Linked DNA regions of Struthio camelus. Each later gene encodes a partner of the first gene's protein in a complex. Links are inferred from orthologs where the notes say so. Each region holds a gene or a part of one and is shown on either strand. Other genes may lie near its edges. The genes, in order: PLXNC1 and SEMA7A.

What was found.
Region 2: the proteins of PLXNC1 (region 1) and SEMA7A are in contact, whole or in part, in a crystal structure (PDB 3NVQ), measured with the Homo sapiens proteins. The link is inferred for Struthio camelus from reciprocal best matches to the Homo sapiens genes PLXNC1 and SEMA7A. Residues at the interface, in NP_005752.1 of Homo sapiens: Arg131, Thr151, Glu152, Val153, Asn195, Pro196, Ala197, Ala198, Ser199, Asp200, His201, Thr203, Ala206, Lys208, Arg213, Ser214, Leu215, Ala216, Thr217, Gln218, Glu219, Leu220, Arg222, Lys224, Glu272, Ala350, Ser352, His353; in NP_003603.1 of Homo sapiens: Gln194, Tyr196, Asn197, Gly198, Lys199, Arg202, Arg204, Tyr213, Ser215, Asp216, Thr217, Gln270, Gly271, Gly272, Glu273, Ser274, Ser275, Leu276, Val278, Ser279, Lys280, Pro372, Thr375, Glu376, Phe378, Gln379, Asp382, Arg383.

The regions. Positions count from the first base shown.
Region 1 is NC_090942.1:51,555,176-51,563,245, reverse strand, and holds the start of PLXNC1 (plexin-C1), read right to left. Parts: upstream 3,141-8,070; 5' UTR 3,102-3,140; coding exon 2,145-3,101; intron 1-2,144.
Region 2 is NC_090953.1:23,590,513-23,598,459, reverse strand, and holds the start of SEMA7A (semaphorin-7A), read right to left. Parts: upstream 3,325-7,947; 5' UTR 3,052-3,324; coding exon 2,940-3,051; intron 1-2,939. UniProt on the Homo sapiens protein: Plays an important role in integrin-mediated signaling and functions both in regulating cell migration and immune responses.

The DNA.
Region 1 (8,070 bases):
ATTCATATTAAAGCTGAAAAACTTGCATTTGTTTCTATGTTTATACACCACAAGCACATATAATTACCTTAAAAAGGGAGTATCATTTGCCATGTAATACTGCAAGTCATATTACTGCCCAACTCTCTGATGTCTGCTATCTCAAAAAATACTAAATACCATACTATTGTGAGTAATAAGCTGTATTTATCATTGCAAGAGTATCGTGATTAACTACATCATTATAGTTAGGGACACAATATTAAGCAGTCATTTCAAACATTTTAAATGTTGAGAGTCTTCAGTGTTATGGCCAAATACAGCTGACATTTCCAGGAGGGACAAGCTTTGTAACTTTGGGATAATAGGAGTTTGAGCTAAATCAGACCAATCCTTAAGCAAGAAGAACATTGGCTTTCCATACTGAGACACCTGGGTACAATGGAGATAGGGGATTCAGAAAAACACAGATCGGAACAGAAATATCTGTCATTACCATACCCTATACATTCCGAAAGACTCATCTGGAATTTCTAACATTGGGCTTTGAAATGTATTTATTAAGGATCTGCTGCTCGGAGACATTTCTTTTTTGCTTTTGCAGGCTCAGAAAGCACCTTTGTTTTCCAGGGAAGAAAATCCACGAGTAATTGAAAACAAAGAATACAAATTCAAAATCCAAACTGCATATGTGTATTTTGGGATGAGAGGAGACTTTAACTTCATTCAGTAATTTTGCTACATGACAGCATAGAAATCACGCAGTAAGTTACAAACTGGCATTGCAAATCCAAGGATTTGGTTCTGGCTCTGTTGAAATGAGTAAGTGTTTTGGTATTGGCTTCAGCACAGTTGTTTCACCCACATATGGGGTTCTCGTTCATAATTATGGTCCTTAAACACCAGTAACGGTCTTATGATTCAATCTGTGCATTTCCCTACTGAATTGCATGTGCCCCCTGGTAGCTTTTGTTTGCAAGAAATCTCAAGCACTGAGCTCTGCTAGATTTTGGAAGTCAAGGAGCGATGGCAAATCTACAAGACTTCTTTCAAGGAGTTTACAACAAATTCCTGTCATAACAGAGGAAGAATTGAGGGCTTAAGCTGCAAAGTCTGTGGATGGTGGGGGAGCTGCAAAAGGTCAGAGCTTTCTTTATGAAGGCTTGATCCCCTATAGTCCTCCCTGAGAACTATAGCATTTCAGCATTGTTCCTTTGCTACAGAACTGAAAAGACTTCTGAGGGGTGTGACTTTTAAAAGCATGGAAGGGCCTTGCAAAAGCAGCTTCTTGTCTTGATTCACATTTTTAGCTGTTTTTTTCACTAGTTGCCAAGGCCACAGCAAACCTGGAAGCCTTGCCCACCCTGCCCTCCCCATGCATAGCTGACTCTAAAAGGATGAAGGAGCTGAAGAGACAGTGTTGCAGAAGTGGGCGACCAGGGGATCTCCATGGGATACCACTGCCTTAAAAATGTAACCACCGCAACAGCAAAGAGATCTTGCCAAGGGTTGTCTGCTGTGTATACATGTTTGGGTGGGTTTTGTGAGCCCTCTTGAGCAGGGGCAATCCTGGGACATATGGAAAACACCCGCCACTGCATAAGCGATCATAAATAACTAGTGAGCAACAGGCATAACAATGCACGCAGCCCAGTGCACGGGAGTCACTTTGACGGGCTTTTTTTCACTTCTGATGCAGCTGCAATGACAGGAGATGTGAATGCACAGAACAAGGTAGGAAATGCTTTATGTAGGCTCCACAGAAAATACAGTGAAATATAACTAATCCTTGGCAGCAAAAGGGTGCACGCCCGAGAAGCCTGAGACTCTTGCCTGACCCAGAGCGCTGTCAGGTACCCCCTCCGCCATGCCTTCCCTGGAACATAACTGGGAAGGGGACTACCCATCAGACAGGCTGCAAGGACCCGTTAGGGGGATCAGCTCTTTAGAAAGAGAAAGCCCTAGAGAAAACTTGAGGGCTGACGGAGCCACAGCTGATGCGCAAAGCCTGGCCCAGCTCAGAAGCTCCTGTGAACTTCACGGGCCTTCAGGTCCGTCAGCGGGGGACACCCCATGGAGTTACGCACAAGCAGCGGCAACGACAACAACAGTGACAACCACGGTCTGAAGGGATAAAGCTTAACAAGAGCGGCGCCACGACTTACACAAAGGTTCCCGTCCCCGAGGAAGTGCGTGGACACGCAGGCTTGCTCGCTCATCTCCTCCATCCCGAAGATGCAGACGGCGGTGCTGTTCCAGGCCTTCGCGCTGTGGCTGTGGCGGAAAACACCCACCCACCAGCCCTCCGCTCCCTGGCGGACGAGGCTGGAGGAGACGATGAGGCTCCTGCAGCCGCAGTCCAGATACACCTGGCCTTGCAAAGTAAAGGCACCTTCCGAGGGCCGCAGCTGGCGCAGCACAGCCATGCTCGGCCGCTCCCCATCCTTGCCCAGCGTGGCCCGCAACTTGTAGTAGGGGAAGAAGAGGCGACTCTCCCAGCGGAGCGCGTCCACGAAGTGCAGAGGGTCCTCCTTGTACTTGATGACGGCCAGCTCCTCGCTGGACAGCAGGCTGTCCGTCCGGCGCACCGTGATGGCGGTGGTGGCGTCCGAGCGGGCCGGCTCGCAGCCCAGCCGGGTGTCGGCGTTACCCTCCGAGTAGGTGGCCGCCACCGCCAGGTACCAGGTACCGGCCAGCTCGAAGACCACGCCGGCGGTGGAGCCGCCGGGCAGGCAGCTCACCACCTCGCTGCGGTTGAAGCGCTGCCGGTAGGCCGGGCGCTCCCACACCTGGCAGCTGCCCTCCGCCTGCGTCCAGCCGGCCAGCAGCACGCCGCCGCCCGCCGCCTCCTCGTAGGGCAGCAGCAGCTTGCTGCGCACCCCGGGCGGCTCCGCGCAGCCCTGCGCCGCCGCCGGCGGCACCACGCGGCGCGGCAGCCGCAGCGAGGGCCGCAGCTCGTAGAGGCAGCTGCCGCCCGCCACCAGCACGCCGCCGCGGCTCACCTCGATGTTGTCGATGGCCGCCCCCGGCAGCTCGAAGACCTGCGCAGCGGCCGCGCCGGCGCCCGCCAGCGCCGCCAGCAGCGGCAGCGCCCAGCTGAGGCCGGGCGGCGGCGCCGCCATGGGCGCGGGCTCCGCTCGGCGCCGCGGGGGGTCCCTCAGGCGGCGGCGGCGGCGGCGGGCGGCGGGCGCTGCTGCTGCTGCTGCTGCTGCTGCTGCCGCTGCTGCTGCCGCCCTTGCCGCTGCGCCATGCTGCGCCCCCGGGGCCGCCGCGCTGCTGCCGCCGCTGCCGCCGCTTCCTCCGCCGCGGCCGGCGTGTGTGCGCGGGCGGGGAGTTCCTCTTTCGGGGCGGGGAAGGGAAGGGAAGGGGGGTGCCTGTGCGGGAGCGGTGGGCCGGGCTCCTCCGCCAGGGCCGCCGCGGCCCTGCCCGCCGCCCCCCGCGCACCCCCCGCCCAGCCCCTCGGCGGCGGCGGCGGCGGCCGGGGGCGCCCCTCAGGCGGCGGGACCGGCCGGCCGGGGCGGCCCCCGGCGCGTCGCTGCCCCGCGCCCGCCCTGGCCACCTGAGGCGAGGCGGCCGCCGCGCCTCGCCTCGCCTCGCCGTGGGCCGTCTCACCTCAGGCGGCCGCCACGCCTCTGGTGGGCCGCCGCGGCTCAGGTGGCCGCCGCGCCGCGCCTCGCCCGGCCGCCGTGCCCCCAGTGCGGCCCGTGGTCCCCCCACGGCCCGTCCCCTGCGCCCTGGCCCGCCGCCCCAAGGGACACGGCATCCCCCAGGGACGCGGCGCCCGGGCCCTCGTCCCTCCTGGGTGAAAACGGTGGCCCCCGGCCAGCCTGTTTGGTCCCTGCCTTCAGCGAGCGTGGCCCCCCCCCCCCCCGGCCACGTATCTACCACCGTGCGAAAGGGGAATTGTGATTTTGGAAGTTTGGTGGGGGGATGGTTGGGTGAAGATAGACTGTTGCAGCCCCTCTGGCCTGGTTCGTGGCTGGCTGGAAGGTACTTGTGGGAGGTGGGTCTCTGGTGGACCCTCATGCCGCCTGTCCCCGTACGCGGCGGGGTACGAGCAGGCGCAAGCTTTGAAACTGGGTTATCTATTCAAACGCTCTGCATAACCATCCTGCTAAATTACACCTCACGCACGCACGCCATCGTATTTTTAGTCACTCGCTTTGAAGGATGTCAGGAACAGAAACCAGTTGTAACCCCATCAGTCCCCGTCGCCGTGTGGGGATGGAGTTTGATGTCAGATCTCTGTTTAAAACCCTACAGTCTTCTCTGAGGTAAAACAAAAGAGTCTACGTTTTCTCTTTAGCGATTGCATGACACATGAAAAGCCCTGTTTTCTCCAGCTGTGCTTCCGCAAGATGGACTCTGTTCAAACGTTCGGGGATGGGATTCGGTGTGTTGAATGGCACAACTGATTTACTGTCCTGCTAAGTTATTTCTGGTACAGACTCAACAAAACCGGATGTATATACTGCATGCCCAGCTAACAGTAAATAATTTTTTCTCGCTGGGCTTAAAGTAAAGATGTGATTATGCAAGATAACCAGGAGACATTTTAATGTCCTCTGCTGGGTGTTTCTGGAAACTCTGGGTGAGGATGGGCACAGGGCCCACTGCCAGCTTTACCGAGAAAAGGACATAATATTTGGAACTGAGAGGCTGCTTTTCCTAACACTGACCATCCCTTTACACCACTCTTATCTCTAAGTGGCTTTGCAGTGTGAATAAGTGGAGCTGTAAAAACTAGAACAAAAGTAGTCCCTGTACAAAGGAGTCAAGCCTAATATTTTCAAGTAGGAAGTACAGTGCAGTTAGCAAAATTATCTTATCTTTCTCCATTACTGTACCCAGCAGCAGCTATTGTGCAAGAATTACTTCTGCTCTGGTCAGCAAAAGTATTTTTCCATCTTGCAGCAATCGGGCTAGGACACATACCACTGTCAAATTCAGAACCTCCTGCAACTCGTCTACTTATCTCATGGACAGTCACTCCAAAATGTGTCCAAGATCTGCAAAATGTAGCAGAGGATGTGGAAAGGAATCATTATGCAATTTTTTTTTCTCACCAGATGCACAAGGAGGGAGGCTCTACCTGCTCATGCACGCTGCCTGTAGCTTCCTGCACGCTACTGAACTTTGTCAACCCATAAGCAAAGTAAATCGTCATGCCGATATCACCAACATAGACTGCGTACAAAAACACAGTTTATACAGCATTGCGGAGGAAGCTGAACGTGTCACGCTGGAGTGCATACCTTGACTTCTGGTTGCTTTTCAGTGCAAATGTAAAGTTCTGAGTGATCTGTGTTTTGCCTGCAACCTACGAGGCTGACTGGGAACATGAATGGACAGACGCCCATCTGCAAGACATCTTTGGTACTGACCACAGAGCACGTCTAGCAACAGGTCAGCTTCTGAGGAAGTTGCTCCTCTTGTGAAATCACCAACCTCTGCATTTGTTGGCTTTCAGGACTGGCCAGATTGCTTGTTTCTGTGGGTTTATGTTTGAAATATGCCACGTGCTTCACCTAATGACTAATTTGGTTAAGTGGTGAGGCCAGGCTTATTTTAGTCTTAGAGAACAGCGACATCTCCTAAGGCTGCAGGCTCCTCAGACTGCCGAAACAGCGATGTTCTGCCTCAAATGTTGCTTATTCTAGGACCCTGAAAAGCTAGACTGGTTACAGCCATTAGAAAACGGTCTAGTCATGTGGAGTACCAGGCACTACCAAGGCAAGACAGGAGGCTGCCCTCTTCCTGCCCCCAGAGAGCAGTCAGAGCCCGCTACTCAGTCTCTTCCCTGCCTGCATCGCTTTTCTGTTTCTATTCTTTCCTCCTCTACCCTTTCCGGGGAAGCAATAGCTAGGACCAGGTCCTCATCTTGCAAAAGTTAATTCTGCGTACGCTCCTGAGAGCCACTGAAGCAGCTTTGAACTGAGGATTATTCATGGTTGGCCCAGTTCCTCAAGTGGCAGTGTTCTCAATTCCTTTCCCAGTCCCTGAAATAAATAGTAGTGCACGTGTTCAGTCTATCCCTCCAGAGATACCTGACAGGTTACAAGTAGAATTGAGCTTCCACAGAGAAGTTATGGAAATAGGAAACAAAGTTTCTTCTACAGGTTTCTTTTGTAACTTTGCTGATTTTAATATTTGCTATTAATACAGAAGAGCAGAAAACAGTGCAGTCAATTAATGGTATTCTTATAAAAGTGAAGCATGAAATGACAGACATCTTACTGTATTCTCTTGGTCATCAGTTCCATATTTGGTACTTTTATGCTATAGTTGCATTATGTTTTACTTTTTAGGCACTGTAGAAATGGCAAACAGGAGAGTCTGCCTATTCATGTTGCACGTCACAAAACATTGCTGGCACTCTGACCAAATTACTAATAGAGCCAGGGAACCAAATGCAACTTCCTTCACTTTCTGAAGCAAGCTTTGTTTATTTCAGCGGGGCATATGAGATCTGAATATGAGAATTTGAGCTAGGAGGAGTTTCATTTGAATCCATTTGAACTTGGATTTACCTCTGCGAGTAAAGAGCTCCTTTTTAGATCTTCATCAATATTAGGCAGAACACATCCTGAATTAACTTATGATTGCCTTTCCCACTATTGTTCAGCTACCTACTTCCCTCCTCCTTATTTCTCATTTGCATGCTAAATTTCTCAGCATTTAGGACTCCACAAAGAATCTGGCAAAATATTAGTCAACAAATGAGATTTATTTTTTAAGTGTAATTTATTTCAGATTTAGCTTAACTTTGATATTTTCCCTGTTTTGAAACTCCGAGCCCAATTCACGTTTGGTCTGTTTGTTTATTTAATGTAAACGGTTACCTTAGCTTGGTTCTGACTTGTCTTTTCTCACAGGGTAAATAATCTTCTGTTTACAACGTAATGATAATGATAGGTAGCATTACTGTTAACATGCATTTTATCCTCAGTGCAACACTTGGAATAGCTGCTTTTTTCATTGTACAGATAAGTCAATTTTGTAATGTCACTAAGTCTCGACTAAGTAAAAAGAAAATGCTAGGCATTTTTTCAGGAAGCTATGCTGAGAAAGATTTCCTTCCTTGTCGTGTAAGTGCATTTGAATACTGAAACTCAGTCTGCAGTTTTGGATTGTAGTTTTACTTTTTTGTTTTGTTTTTATACACTGTCTAATCTAAAAGTTAGTGACCCTTCTGCATTCTTTTTTGGAGGTCTTTACCGCCAAAGAAAATGTCCGAGTCAAGAACAGGCTCTTTCGTGAACCTGAAGGGGAAATCCAAATCATTGCAAAAAATGAGCAATTAATTGCAGAAGGTCTGCAAATAGTGTAACTGAGTGGAGAGGACAGTGACCTGAATTCATGCATGTACCATCAAAAAGTCACATATTTACTATGTTAAAAAGTCACATATTACTATATTAAAATATTCATAATACTTTCTATATGGGGGATTTAAGGGAGAGAAAGAGAAAGAGGGAAAGAAGAAAAGGAAAGAAGGAATGAAAAGAAAAAGAAAAACAGAAAAAAGGAAGGAAAGAAAGAAGAAAGCAAAAAAAAAGAAAGATGGAGGAAGGAGGAAGAAAGAAAAGAGAGAAAGAAAAAGGAAAGAAGAAAGAAAGAAAAGAAAGAAGGAAGGAGAGAAGGAAAAGAAAGAAGAATTTTTCAGCCTATCTCCAAATATAAATACTATAAAATTTTGGATAAGAAGTCAGGACACTATGATTGTTTATCTAAAACACATTTTTTCAATCACATTATGTTTCCTTTCTTTTCAAATATGATAGTTTCCAATATAGTTGCAAGGGTACAGAGAAAGAATTAAAAGGTACACATGAAGGAAAAATATGGTTCTGCACAGCAAATGTTCATAGTCTAAAGCAAAGTAACACTGAGACGGTTGTTTTTACGTCAAGCAGGAAATCTAGGTTCTTCAACAATTGGTGCCACAACCTTCCTGTATAATGCTGGACAAGACACATCCCTCTTTGCATCCCATACTTGTCTCTTCTGTTCATGAGAGGAATAAGACTATTTACCTTTTAAGGAAGCTGTGTAGATCAACATCAGTAAAGGTATTATACATATGTGAAA
Region 2 (7,947 bases), on another chromosome or scaffold:
AAAGTCTCGGAGCTGCATTTACATGCACTGCATTCAAAGACCAAAACAGGCAGACCTGCAGAACACTGCCCCAGACACCCACAGCGCTGGTCCAACCCTGCAAGTCCAAAGTCCCCAGAGGTTACTTAAACGTGGGCAGCTCCAAGCACTGAGAGAAGCTAGCTAGCTTCTTTGTTTTCAGATCTGAGCTCTGGGTGATGCCAACAAAGCCAGCAACATCGTTTTCTGCTGGCGGCTGAGGGTCTCACCTAACCTATTTCTTGCTAAGGAAACCAGACAGCTAGGGACGGCGGGGTAAAGCCCCAGAGTAGTTAAGGCCTCCGGCCGCGGGCTCTCCTCCCAGATCGGGAGGCATGCTGGAGAGGGGAGGACGCAGTGGCTGCGCGCTCAAAGGGTGGCTGCAGCAACAGCTTTGGCTCGTGCCGATTTCCTCCTCTCTCCCCAAGGGCTGCAGCCCGGGGAGGGACCCCGGACACACAGACGCACACGTGCTCTTCTCTTCCAGGGAAAACGGGGCTCAGGCCAGTGCCAGGAGGGAATTTCTCTGCTCGTCTCCAGGGCTGTAACGCCTCTAGGTGCCTTTGCAGAGGCTGCCCTGCCTCGTTCTAGCGATGAGCTGTGGCACATAAGAAAATTAATTAGGTGAAGAGCTGCCAGCTCCTGCAGAACCCCGGGCTGAAGCCAGTGCCGCACCATCGCTCGGCACGCCAGCGTGGCAGGAACGCAATGAACTTGGCCTAGGACAACCCCCAGCCCTTCGTGGCGGGCAGAGCACAAAAGGTCCCTCAAGGGGAGTGATGCCTCAAGGCTGGATTTGAACTAGCAACCTTGCAGGCAGCCGGGCTGTCCCAGGGCCAGCCTCCCGCCTGCTCTGGCATTAGCGGCCACGCAGGTGGCCACAGCTAGGAGCCCAGCTGCTGCTCTTCTGTCCAGTTCCCAGCCTCTGGGACCAGGATTCAACCTGGAAACCAAGCCCTGCAACACCATCACCCCACGGCGAGGGTCCAGCCTCTACACAAGATGGACGCAAGCAAGCAGCAACATGCCGACTTGCAAGTTATCTATATTAAAGATACTGTACTTGCCTTTTGCTATGTCTGGAGCATTAGGGAAGGGCTTTCTGCCACCCATCGCATCCCTTCTCCCTCTGTCCTATTTCTTTGCCCTTCTCCAGGGGTACTTCCTCTCCTCCCACCACCACGCGCCATCCTAGTCCACCCTCCTCCTCGTTCGGTGAGGACCCATTTTCTAAAGGACAGAGGTTACATGGAGCAAAACGCAATCTGTTAAATAGGAAGCATGACTGACTCATAACAGAGTACAGCACATATTTGCCTCTACTAATGCCCTAACTGAAATCCCTTTGGGCCTGTGTCCCAGCTACGCTTTAAAAAAAAAAAAAACTAAAAAACAAAAAACCAAAAAACAGAAAGAGAGAGAAACAGAAGAAACAGAGATAAGCATAAGCTGATCCCTTTGCAGGGAACTGTCCTAACACTAATTGGCTTTGGTATTTCTCGGTGGCAGATCCTCACCGCGTTTAATGCCAGGAAAGCCACCATCCGACACAGACGGGTCAAACGGCTACGTTCTGCGCCCGTGCCGAGGCCGAGCGCTCGCAGAAACAGGTGTCATGCAAACCCAACCCCAGGAGCCTGCTCTTCCGCCTCACCACCGCTTTACCCTAGGACAGAGGTTTCCGTCCGTGCCAGATGTACGCAAGTCAACTTTTTTTTTTTTGTTTTTCCCTCTCTCCTAAACACGTCAGGGGAAAAATTCTGCCGAGAAAGGCAGGAGCCCCACGGCCGCGGCTCTGCTCAGTCTCGTGGTGCGTTTTCTCCCCCCGCTTCCGTACCGTTGTCGGAGCAGCAGCCGAGCTGCTTAATTTGCCAGAAGCTAAAGCAAACGACGCAAGGCTACGAGCAACCCGCCGCTGCCCTCTCCCCTTCGGGCGCCCGTCAGGCAGGAACCACCTCCCGGCCACGTGCCCCGAGCCCTTCCCCGCGCTTCTGGCCTTCCCTTCCAGGAGCAACCGGGCTGAAAGAGCTCCTGGCCGAAGAATAACAGATGGCGCTGAATAAACCACTGAAAATTCCCATCCTCTGAAGTTCTCGGCAAATGGAAAACACAGAGGGGCTGTTGTACTGCAGAGCGGCGCGAGATCTACAGCCCGGCTGAGCCGTCGGGTTAGACAAACACCATAACCGCTGGGGACAAGACAAGGTCTTTTGTTAAACCCTCCCTGGAGGGTATTAATCCACGAGCTTGGAAGACACATGATAAAACTAGTGAATTCTCTCTCGAACACCCGTATCTCGGGCTGAGCTCTCGGCAATCGCAGGGTATACACTTCCTCCTTGAAAACTGCTCTTTGTTCTGTTTCCAGTAAGACCGTGGCTGATCACAAGCTCTTTCAGTCATATGTATTTTCATACAGAGATCATCTGCAAATATTTAAGAGCGCAACTCATTTGCAACTAAGAGGGCAAGCACATCAGATTAATAAGAAAATTAACTGTGTCATGCAAATATACTTCTTCATTTCTCCCTGTGAGCTAGAAGAAATGGTTATTGTGCCTGTCCCAGGACAGGGGGGGGGGATCAACAGTTTAATATACCCGGCCTGGGGGAAAAGCGCTTTCAGAATATACAGGGGGAAAGGACTTGTCAAGGCAAGAGATCTAAAAACTCAATTTAAAAGAAAAATCAAGGAGGTTAAAAACCCTTCTGAGACCACAGGCATCTTGGCTCATTTAAAATGAGAGCCAGAAGTCTCCCCAAAGAGACAAAAGAAAGAAAGAAAAAAAAGAAAGGACCCACTCGAAAGACACAAAACGAGGAGAAAACGCATCGCGCGGCAGCAGGGAATCGCTGTCAGCCGCGGGCACGTCTCAAGAGAGCGCTCTGCTTCCCGCGGCCGCTCGCTCGCCGGGACCTACCTCGGGGAGCCGTGATGATCCTGGGGTTCACCTTGGAGCGCCCCGCCACCCACAGACCCAGCTGGCTGGCCCACAGGGCCACCAAGAGGACAACCGGGGTCCTTCTGCCCATTTCTACTTATTCTGGGAGCAGAGATCAGGAGCCTGAGAGCGGCATTTCTTATGAGCGGATGCAACCCAGATCAGCCAATGAGTGCAACGAAGGAGGGACTAAGGGCTTTCTTCTCCAGAAGGGCTGCTGCACATTGCTAACAGCCCAGCAGGGAGAGCTCGCTAATGGGAAACTCCTGGCAGCAAGGCTGCAGCATAGCTCAGGCGCCAGCCTTCTCCCTGCTAGCGCTACAAGAAGATCATAGCAAAGGGCCACTCCTAACAACACAAAAGATTTATCCCAAAACTCATTCGTCATCACAAGTCAAGAACACCACCAGAGACGTGATGAGGACTCAACCGCCGGTGTCCCTCGTCCTCCGTGTCGCCCAACAGCGATCCTAGCCAGACCACTCAAACACGGGTCTCACGTGTGTCATAGGCTTGTGAGCATGAGAGTAAACGAAATTAGAGCATGAATGTATAAAATCTGTTTACGTAGAGGTGTGGTGAATAAATATCCTGTTCCATAAGATCTCACACTGACTTTTGTCATGCTAATGCTCTCTGAAATGACAAGATGCTTAGCAGGGCGCAGCACCCTGGCCCATGGGACTGGCCTGCTACCAGGTCTGTGGTGCGACCTTTGGAAAGTCGCTTCACTTTGCCAGACCTCCATTCCCCATTAGGAGGCCAGCAAGGGCTGACAGTCTTTGTGAAGTGCTGAGAGATTTGTTAATGAGAAGAGCAGGGCATTACGTGCAAGGAAAGCGAGGTCGGACGTGACCGGAATAGGAGAGCCCCACGGAGAACGCACAAGGACATGAGAGATGCAGCTGCACTCTCTTTAAAGTCAGTGCTGAAGCTAGAGCCGAGACTGCTCCGCTCCTGAAGGAGATGAACAGTGGCAGTTCAAGGGGACATTTCGGAGGAAGCAAAATATTAATGAGCCAGCTAATTGTCAGTTTTAAGGACCCAAAGGAATTTCCCACTAACTCTAAGCGTGGGGTTTCTCTCTCTCATCTTAACCAAATAGCCATTTGGGTAATTACAGTATGACAACATACAGATCATCTCTGGTTTTCCACTTTTGGACATGGTGATTCCCAGATTAGCCTCGAAGCGTTCTGCATTACTGTTCACCTTTAAGCAACTGTCCATTTCACCCCAGAGGTTACTGCATTTCTCCACCAGCCCCACTGATCCAGGAGGTACTCAACCCCATTGCCCCTTGCTTTCTTGCAGCACAAGTCAGAAAAGGCTTGCTGGAAAACGCGTGTGCAATTCATTAAGGCTCTTTCACACAGTCAGGAGTGAAAAAGAAACAGGAGGGCACCATTTGCAAATCAACAGCCTAAGCCAAACAACCCACATGTGCTCCTTAATAAACATGACAACTTAACAATTTGCATCCACCAAAATTTGGGCTACGTAAATGGACATTGCATACATTACTACCTGCTTTGTCTTTTATGACCTGATGTGGTTTTTCTTTCATGTGGCTCATATAACTACAATTTTACAGCACTAAGTCACCATCCAAATAGGACTAGCATCACTGGCAGTCTGTACCAGCAAGACCACAGCCAGGCCTGCATCAATGGGAAAGATCAAAGAAAACTGGTGGAGCAGGGACCTTTCTGATGACATTTCATTTAAACCCCAGGATGGACAGAGAAAGGCACAGCCTCAATCCAGCTGAACAGGGCAACTTCACAACTGTGTGATGCTGTAAGAAGACGTGCATACAGCCGACTATTTTTAATCCCTTCCCTGTTCTTTATTGTCAATCCAGTTGAGTCCAAACGTAGAAGACAAACGAGAATAAGTCTGCAAGCATCTGTTTGAAAAGCTCTTTCTCCCTTGAGGACCTGCTGTTCCTCCAGACCTCCCCAGGCCGCCCTTCTTCCCCTTAGGAAACATTCATGGGGAAGATATGAGGATTTTCTATGTTCATGTAATATTTCCGGCCCCGTAACAGCCTGACCAGAACTACTAGATAGGACCATTCGCCAGTGCGTCTGGTAAGACATGACCCATGTGTGTGGACAGACTACCTGGGGAAGGGGGTGCAGGGGCCCTGTGCCTCCCTACAGCATCAGAGGCACTGTGTTCACGTCACAGCCCCACTCATAGATCTGTGCCTGGGAACCACCCAGCCGATCCGGTGGCCGTCTTCCTGCACGCTGGCTCGCAGATCCCCTTCTCAACAAAGTTACCAACTCATAACACAGATGGGTTCTGTTCAGAGAGGAACTAGGAGAGCTTCTGCCCTGTGACAATAGTAAATCCTTTTCTTTCTCCCTTTCTTTGCTGTTAATTGACACACCCTGGTACTCTGTGGGGCTGGCTTTTGGGTTTTTTCCCCATCTACACTTGAAGACAATGCCCCCTATGCATAAAATTCAGCTTCAAATTCTCCCGAGAGTTTAGAAGTGTTCAGCTCTGAGCTGCTTCTAGTTCAACACATCTGATATCACTGTCCTCTGTTTCCTAGGCCACCAGCTGAACCACCCCATGAACAGGACTGTATTGCACCCCTGGACTCATACTGATGCTGTAGGGCTTGCTAAGCAAAAGGCTTAGCAAACAGCTTGCTGGGTATCACTGTGTCGCGTGGCATCTCTGTACTGTATCTCACCTCTTTGCTGGGTAGACCTTCCCCATCACAGGACCCCAAATGATGGTTTCATGCCTGGGGACAGGGGAAGGCTGACAAATCTGTAGGAGAAAAAAGGTCTTGGAGCAAACTAGAGATTGGAGTCCAAGGCCAGTTCCAAACTCAAAGCTGACAGCCCCAGCAGTTGTCCCAGGTCCTTGGCTACAGGAGATCATGCAGTTCAGTACAAAGCTGCTCTGAGATCTCTGCAGAACAATCACCAGCAAAGGAGACTACAGCAGAAGGGAAAAACATGGACCCAAAAAGCTAATTACAACTCTTCAAATGAAGAGTCTTCACTAAAACTGAGCTCTCGCCCAAAAAGTCTTCTGCGCCACCCAGAAGCTATAGCTCCCCTTAGCGTCCCTACTCCTCCCTGCAAGTTGCTTCAGTGCAGCAGCATGATTGCAATCAGCCAGGGTGAGCCTGACAGAGAGACCCCAAGGCACTGCACAGGACTGTGCATCCAGCCCCCTTCATCAACCCAGTTTCTCCTCATTTGCTTGAGGTGACCTACAGTTTGGATAAGATCTGGGAGTCAAGGGACTGCCCACACACACACTGGGCAATGACCTGGGAAAACAGCCACTCCTTGACACCCAGCTGCCCGGAAGGGGCAGGGCACCCTGTGTATGCAGAGGCATATAGCCGCAGAGCGTAATGCTGTGTTATGAGATTTGATCAAGGAGCCAGCTCAGCTTGCAGACTTAGGAGGCAAGGAGTACGGAGCTGATTTCAAGTCTTCTTTATCAGCTTTGTTCCAACCCTATGTCAGCGTGCACAAAGTGCTAGATGTGGAACTGTGCCCTGAATACAGCAACACTCAACCAAAAAATGACTGGGCATTAAGTACACGCACGCATACTTCCCAATAACTCAAAGAGTTTCTGGGAGAGTTTGTTTGCTCAGGACCTCCTCTAAATGACCTCAGTCAGATGTTGTGGTACTGAACAAGGAATGCACAAACAAGAGATCAGATTGCAGGCACGCACATTCTTCTCTTTCAGCCCCTCCTGAAAGCGGAGGTTTCTGTCAGGTTCGCTCAGGGATTAGAATTGCCAAAGTACAAATCAGGTGCAGTTTCATTCAGATTGCACTATTCAGCTGCAAAACGGATAAGAACTCAGCTTCCCCCAAAGTACCTCAAAATCATAAAGCACAGATTTTCCCAACAAGAATGCTCAGTTTTATTTACAAAAGCAGAGAAGATCCCTAGGACATAAACATTCCAGCAGCCTGTAACGAAACCTCCACTGTTTTTACGGGCATCGTTTCAGGCCCGTTAGAGAATGGCAGGTATGTTGGAACACCACTCAAGAGCATAGTAATCATTATCTACTAACCTCCCACCAGACCAGGAACGTGTCAAGAAATACCGACTAGATATTATGGATTTGGACACAGGCGTATTTTCCCTGGAAAATTTCATCATCAACAGAAAGAAGCACAAACATCCCTAAAATTTAAACATTCTTCTCCCTGTGAAAGCCAGGCAAGATCTATTCACTGGTGCGCCAGCTCTTCCAGAAACATGACAAGTGGAGCTTGATCTCTGGCTGTTATCAGCCATGGCAGCTTCAGGAAAGTACCAAAGAGGGACCTTTTGGGGCATAGCATAAAGGACTGAGGATGTTCGCCAGGAAAAAGTTAGCACATCTCAGATGATCAAGGGTCTTGTTAGTACTCTCACATTAGCAAGCGACGCTGTCAACAGCGAGGAGGCAAAACAGTGAGCTGTACACCTCTGCCACATGGCCTGCCAGGAGCTTGAGCACCCCTTGGCGCAGATCCCAAAGGCTTTACACAGAGTAAAGCAAGTGCAACGCACAGCTCTCCCCGTTTCAAAGAAAATTAAAACGAAGAAGCACGTTGCTTTGTTGAGATCGATCTGCCACACAGAGCTGCATACTGATACGTTAACATTGCACAGTGCGTCAGCTCCGTTTTCCTGAGGGCCCAAACGGTGTTGCTCACCTGAAACGCTCGGTGTTTCCCAGCTGCTATGCTCCTCTCTGCTCCCTAGCAGGCCTGGCTTTCAGGGCAGCACTGCCACATGCTGCAAAGCAGCTATGCTTCAGCATATCAGCATTATCAGCTCCATTAGATCCACAAAGTCCTCCTGGTAATGCACAAGTTAAGGTGCAGCCTCCACAATCGGCTCCCCAGTTCCCTGCCATAAATAGGAGCTAGAGTCTAAGTCCATGTTTTCCTCTGAGAAATCAGTGCAAATCCCCTGGTCCCCAGGGAGCCACTTCAAAC